Linked DNA regions of Notamacropus eugenii. The protein of the gene in region 2 interacts with the protein of the main gene of each other region in a pairwise test. Links are inferred from orthologs where the notes say so. Each region holds a gene or a part of one and is shown on either strand. Other genes may lie near its edges.

What was found.
Region 1: the proteins of FBLIM1 (region 2) and CUTA interact in binary tests that used the Homo sapiens proteins (3 or more experiments, as listed by UniProt). The two-hybrid records come from large-scale screens. The link is inferred for Notamacropus eugenii from reciprocal best matches to the Homo sapiens genes FBLIM1 and CUTA.

What each region holds. Positions count from the first base shown.
Region 1 is NC_092873.1:89,415,276-89,418,266, forward strand, and holds CUTA (protein CutA), read right to left. Parts: upstream 2,142-2,991; 5' UTR 2,057-2,141; coding exon 2,014-2,056; intron 1,985-2,013; exon of another isoform or gene 1,915-1,984; coding exon 1,868-1,914; intron 1,644-1,867; coding exon 1,438-1,643; intron 1,319-1,437; coding exon 1,259-1,318; intron 1,170-1,258; coding exon 1,124-1,169; intron 1,030-1,123; coding exon 980-1,029; intron 875-979; coding exon 772-874; 3' UTR 719-771; downstream 1-718. Other genes in the region: PHF1 (PHD finger protein 1), read left to right, coding at 1-236. UniProt on the Homo sapiens protein: May form part of a complex of membrane proteins attached to acetylcholinesterase (AChE).
Region 2 is NC_092876.1:55,217,364-55,221,275, reverse strand, and holds the start of FBLIM1 (filamin-binding LIM protein 1), read right to left. Parts: upstream 2,189-3,912; 5' UTR 2,170-2,188; intron 2,032-2,169; exon of another isoform or gene 1,953-2,031; 5' UTR 1,897-1,952; exon of another isoform or gene 1,824-1,896; intron 1-1,823. UniProt on the Homo sapiens protein: Serves as an anchoring site for cell-ECM adhesion proteins and filamin-containing actin filaments. Is implicated in cell shape modulation (spreading) and motility.

The DNA.
Region 1 (2,991 bases), on a different chromosome or scaffold from region 2:
TTCCCAACTCAACATCATCTTCATCCCCAAGCCCCTCCCCTGTTCCCTCCCGAAGATCAGTTCCCCAGGGCCCTTCCCCTCTGTGTCGTGGCTTATCTCCTGGAGCTGGTGTGGGAACCCGGGTAGGGGCTGGGTACCTGTCCCGAGGAGACCCTGTCCGTGTGCTGGCTCGGAGGGTTCGACCTGATGGCTCTGTGCAGTACCTTGTGGAGTGGGGTGGAGGAGGCATCTTCTAAAAGGAGGAGCTGATTGCTCCTCCTCTCCCTAGCCCTTATTCACACACATACAACTGGCACTTTCACACCCTGACTTCTGACCTCACCTGCAGCTGGGATGTACCTGGGGGCGTGGTCTGGGGTGGGGGGCTCCTTCCCTACCACCCAGGCTGGAGTCAGGTGGGGAGAGGCCCCTTTCTTCCTCAGCCACCCCTTCATGATTCCTGACCCTACAGCCTTTTTCCCATTTCCCGTGATATTTTGTTACAGCTTTTTTTATATTTTTAAAAGTTATTTAACCCCTTAGGGGAAGGGGAGGGGGATAGAACAGGGAATCCTGGGCTCTGTATGGTTGGAAATAAAGATAAATATACCCTTCAGAAACTTGAATTATCTTGATAGAGGAAAAATGGATGGAAATGGGTTGGGGCTTACTACTATACCCTCAATGAATACTCACAGCAAGTAATACATGTAATAAGGAAAAGATCAAGAGGCAGCACTACGGGGTCAGGATTTATTAGAGAAAGTGTGTGGAAGTTAGCCTGAGAAGTCATCACTGATGAGTGGTGCTATCTTTTACCCAGTGAAGGTATGGAAGGTTCCCCTGTTGCACAGGCAATGTAATGACTTCTACCACTTCGTATGGGTGAACAGAACTAGAGAAAGAGGAAAGGTCAACAAAAGTTGAGCAGTATTTCCTCATCCACCTGAAAATACATCATCGCCCACTCCCACCAGAAAACTAATCTTGATGTCCTCACCGAATAAATTCTGTCAAGGGCGGTGCCAAGGCAGTCTGAGTCTTCATCATCTGAAGGATTGAGAGGTCTAGATCAGGAAACTGAACAGGAGGAGCAGGAGCTAAACACCCTAGGAGGAAAGAGCTGGAAGGGGGGAGCTCTTACCATCATCACCTCACTGTCCTCCTCGATCTTTCCTTTCCATTCATAGCTGAAAGACAACAAAAGGATGAGTTAATGGGGAGAGGAGATACACACCCTCCCTCCCTAGGAAACAGCACACCCCTTCCCAAGACTTACATAGACGTAATCTGGGGTACAAGATTGACGCAGGCGGCCAGTCGCTTCTCCACCACAGCCCTGGAAATCGGGGAAGCTCGCTCAGGTCGGAGCAGACTGCTTCCCACGCCCTGTACCCCAAAGGCTCCCAAGAAGCTCTCGCCTGCCCCTCCACCCCACGCTCCGACCCCTCCTCCAACCTGGCAATAGTCTTGGCGATCTTGTCATTGGGGCAGGTTACAAAGACCACTGAGACGGAGCCAGGGACGTAGTCGGAGCCGGTGGGGGCGGGGGCCGGGCCTTCGGGAGGTCGAGCGGTCATGGAGAGGGCTCGGGGGAGCAGCCGCAGGGGGGGGAACCAGGCGAGCAGCGAGTGCATGCACAGGAAGGCCAGGAGCGAAGCGGCCTGGGGGGAGGGGAGGCGGCGCCATCAAAGGGCCAGCCCAGCTCCGCAGCCCCAGCCCTCCCCCTCCTCACCGCCAGTCATCCCGGATGCAGAGCCCAGACCCTAAGCTAGGACACTGAGGCACGGACTCTTGCCCAGAAGGGGAGGGGAGGGTAGAAGATGGATCTGGAGGCCGGGTGGGCAGGTTCAAGGATCTTCCGAAAGGGGAGGGGGTCGTCACTCACCACTCCGCCGAGCCAGACCTGGGGGCCCCGCCCCACCAACATGCAGCCTAGGCGGCCAAAGGGAGGGGGTCGGGGTCAAAGGTCACGTCACCGAGCGAGAGGAAACTGTCCCAGAGCCTGGCACATAAAAATCAGGGGAAGCATACCTGTATGGCGACCACGTGATAAGCAGGCCCGAACCCTCACCATACCACGTGACGAAGGAAGCTCCTAGTTTACCGCCCCCCCTCCCGCAATCCCAGAGGTCCAGCGTGTTCGATTTACCCCCGCCCTCTAGAGGAGCTGGGCGATGGGAGGGAAAGGGAAGGATTGGCCAATCAGGAGCTGGATCCATGGACACGTGCCGTCCCCACCTCCGCCTCTGAATGACCGTTAAAAATCATTTGCCCAAGAACTCGACTCGTTGCGGTCTTCTCTCGTCACGTGATGTAGGAAGCTGTAGAATGACGAGGAGGACAGTCCAAGGGGAGGGGAGGGAGGGCTAGACGTTGTTCGCAGCCAAAATAGGACTTCCGCGCGAGACGGAAGCCGGCCAACCCTTAGTCAGTTCCCCATAGCACGTGACAAGGGTTTGGGGCGGAGCGGTAGGCAGAAGACTCCGCCCAATCCCTGCGTCAGTGTCGGGCTGGTGAGTGTGGAGTCATCCTTACACTAAGTATGGAGTGCAACTTGGTGGTGGGACTTCCCTTTGCCACCAACAGTTAATAAAACTGTCCAGACCGTGGTGAGTGAGGAGGAGCCGAACAGTGAGCCAGGACTTCCACCTTTGATGAAGACACGGCTGTAGCATCCCATCCAGTCCAGCACCTAGGGCCTTTGTGACTGTAAACTGAAGGGGTTGAGCCCCGAAGTTGTTGTGACCCCGGAGAAACCCAGTTGGCAAGTGGGAAGTGCAGAAGTCCAGAGAGAATATGAGGGGAAAAGAGAGGAAAGGGAGTGCTTTGGAATCATTTGGAACTCTTGGGGATCACCGAATTGGATGTGACACAAAGTGATGAGAAATGGGGTTCATGCCCCCTTCCACAGTATAGCCAGAATTTCAGAATTAGATGAAGACTAACATTTAAAAATTCCTAAATTTATGTGTGGGAGACATAAAAAGAACACTGGACTTGGACCCAAAA
Region 2 (3,912 bases):
CTAATGGCAAGTAATCGAATCCAGGCAATATGCCTCTACAATTAATGGTTGTAGGACCTTGGCTAAGTCACTTCAGCTCCCAGACTCCAGTCTACTTCTTTGTAAAATGGGAAGAATGCAAGAAAATGGGAAGAACTGCAATGAGGAAAAATACCATTAAAATGCCTGTTAACTGACTGACAGGTTCTAGAAAGGATAGCTAGGAGGGTCTGAGAAGGGGAGAGGTATGGAATAGTCAACCCTGTGCCTGGTACCTAGTAAGGGATTGATAAATACTTTAATCTAATCACTGGGAGGGATGTGGGTGTTCCTTTACAGAAGTGAAAGACTATGTGTAAGGACGTTTTATAGACTGTCAGACTTGGTTGATGTTTTGGTGAGTTTTGATAAATTCCTTTTTTTCTCCTTTTTATTCTTTGCTACAAGGAGGAATGATTCTATTTGGAAATGAAAGTGATGTAAAAACAAGAGACATCAAACACACATACACAGAGTCGGTGGAGTTGGGGTTGGGGAGGGCGGCAGAGCTTGGGTGGTACTCCAGAAGGGGCACAAACCCAGTACTTCGGGCTGCTCAGGTCCTGTCCCAGGGGACAGACTGGGCTTTAATCTTCTGTGATAATTAGGAGTCACAAAAATAGCTTTTCTCTGGCCTCTCCTTCCACTCAGCAGAGCTTGGGGGTGGATGGGAGGCCCCAAGAAGCTGGGCAATGTTCACTGACTGTTCCACGTCTTGCCCTACTCAGGGGGAGGGTGGGCACAGAGATGATGGAGTGAGGGGCAGGGAGAGGGGACCCCCTGCCTGACTGTTGTAGGAGGAAAAGTCCTGAATTTGAGGGAGTCCTAGCTCTACTGCTTTGTGCCTCTTAGGTATGTATGCCTTCTCTGGGTCTCAGTTTCCTCACCCATAAAATGAAGGGGTCATATCAATGACCTCTGCACTTGCTCCAGCTTAAAATTCTATTATCTACAAGGAGGACCAGGAGCCCTCTGGAAGGCGTCTGTTCCCTAGCTCTTTGAGGATTGGTTCAGACCCCCAACCTTCTCTGAAGGTCCTCTCCTGTGAGCTGACCTTTTCCACAAACTCTCCACTCCCAGCCAGGGAGGTGTCCCAGGGATAGGCAGCGCCCAGTCCTTGTCAAGCGGACAAGGGGAACTGTAGGTTATCCTTTGAAGGGACTAGTGAAGCTATGAACCACCAACCCCCACCTACCCCTTCCCTTCATTCCCCTCCCTCTCCCTTTCCCCCTTTCCCCTCCCCCTCCATGAGTGTAGAGATTGGAACCAGGCAGAGTCCCAGGGTCTGGATTTAGAAGCAGATGCTTCGACTTAATATAGTGGGAGAGCTCTGGATTTACAATAGACGACGTGGGTTCGAATCTCCATTGGGCATGTCACTAAACCCCTCTGTGCCTCAGTTTCCTTGTCTGTGGAGTGAAGGAGTTAGCCGAGAAGACTTCGAAGCGCTCTTTTAGCTCGAAATCTTGTTGGATTGTTGGGTTGGCCTGGGGGATGTCTCTACAGAGACGGGGACAATTCCTTTACCATCGGTAAGAAGTTGGGTAGGGTGTCTGCTGATGCTCGGGCAGCTGAGGTCTGTAGAGCACTGGTGCTGCCACTCACTCCCCTTCCTGCCCTTGGGGTGAGCATTATCTCCTACCTCCTCGATTTCCCCCATCCCACCCCCGGACCGGTACCTCCCCCGGTCCCGGGCACTACTCGGGACAGATCCCCTGGCTTTGTCCGTCTCTGTCCTTCAGAGGGTCTCCCCCAGACTCCTTCCTCACCCCTCCCCCGATCCCGAGGGGAGCTGGGGCTCGAACCTGCAGCCGCGCGGCCGCCCGGACCTCCCCAACTGTTCCTTCATTGCCGCGGAGTCCCCATTGTTCCGCTCACCTGAGCTCCGGGCGCCGCCAGTCCCGGACGCCTTCTCGGCAGCCCCGCAGTGCCTTCTGCCGGGGTCAGGGAGGTAAGCGAGCCTCCCCGCTGACATCACAGCCCTTTCCTTTCTCCCGGCCCCAGCCTGCCAGCCTCCCTCCCTCCCTCTCCTCCTCCTCTTCTTTCCTCCCTCCCTCTCTCCCCTCCTCCTCTTCTTTCCTCCCTCTCTCCCTCCCCCACTCCCTTCTCTTCCTCCCTCTTTCCCAGCCGGTCCCACAGCAATCCCTTTACCATAAAAGGTGAAAGACTTCTAGGGGGAACCTCTGACAGGAAACAACTCCTTTACCTGCCCCGGGGCTCAGCGCCCCGCTCCCCCTGTCCCAACACTACCCCCTCTCCCCTACTCTGACTGCTCAGAAATCTCTCTAGCCTCCTTTCCCTTTGTCCCATCCCCCTCTCCCTTTCCTTGGACTGTCTTCCCCCCTCCCCTTCTTGGTTTGATTGGCCAGGGGCAGGTAGGGTGGAGAAGTTCTACCCCACCCCTATTGCTGTCCTGCCCCCTCGGATGACTGCCGAGTTCCACGCTGACCCCCTTCCCAGCTGCTGACTGTCCCGAGAGTCCCTGTCCCTATCGTCCCCCCAGAGGTGTGATTTCCCTTCCCCTGGAGAAAGGATCTGGGTGAGAGCCAGCAGGCTGAGCCCAAGGCTGGGAATCAGGTCGCCTGGGTTTTCTACCTCCCTGAGTTTTCTCTGAATCCTCCTGTCCTGCCATCACACCCGATTTTACCCCCATGAATGCCCTGTAAAGGGGCTAACATGTTCCCTGGACCTCCTTAGCCCTGGCAGAGAAAGAGAATGGGGGCCTGTTTCAGGCTGTCGAGAGATGGTCCCCTGAAGGCCTCATGGGGCCACAGGCTAAGGACTGTGTGGGGCCTGTGCAAGGGACAAGGGACACCTCTTCTCCAGAGGCCTTGCGAGCCTTCAGCAAAGCAGCTGGAATGAGAAGTCTGAGTCCAATTTGGATGTAAACAATAACTTCCGCCTTGGTGCTCCCAGATTAAAACCACATAGCTGCAGCTACTGGTGAAACTGCCCTCACCCAACACAGGAGCCCCCTCCACTGATCGGCTGTCTGGGAGTTAGCAAAGGGGACCTCCCCCCGCACTGAGAGAGGCACACCCCCAAGAGAATCAAGACCCTTAAAATCACCCCTAGACTTGGGAGAGCTTTCTGATTGCCCACTCCTGAGGGATGCCCTTTTCTGACTCCCTCAGTCCTGAGGGCTGGAGATCTACAACTCAAAGGGACCTCAAAGGCTATCTGGTCCAAATGGCTATTTTTACAGAGGAAGAAACTCAGATCATTCTAGCTTCATAGATGTCGATGCAGGATTTGAATCCAGGTCCCCTTCCTCCAAAATCAGTGCTTTTTCCATTCTATCAAACTGTCCCTCCCCCTCTCCTCATTAAAAAGACATAGACCAGGAACTGAACCCCAGGCTTCATGCGTGGCAGGAAAATTCCAGCACAAAACTACTCATGCATAAATCCAAGGTTTGGAAATTTATTTATCTGCATACATCTAATCTCCCCAGTACAAGGATTTCTTAAGAGCAGGCAGGGACTCTTTCATTTTGTCTTTGTATCTTCAAAGCTCAGTGCCTGGCACATAACGCTTCATAAATGATTGTTGAATTGAACTGAAATGAGCCCAGATAACCCACTGACTTCCATCTTCTCCCCCTCAGTCTCTTATGTGTACCTATTTACAGGTTGTAAGCTTCTTGAGGGGAAGCCCTGTTTTGCCCTTTTTTGTCTCCCTAGGATTCAGCACAGTGCCTGGTATACAGTAAGCATTTAATAAACATTTGTTGACTGACTGTTGTAGATCTGTCAAAAGGGCCCACCTTCTACCCCTTATCCCCTATACTTTCTCCTCTTTGCCCGACTTTCAAAATCCATTCTACAAAACCTTCACCTTGGGTCTTTGTTTTCTCCCCAAGTTTCCCAAAGTCTACAAGTTTTCCATTTTTGA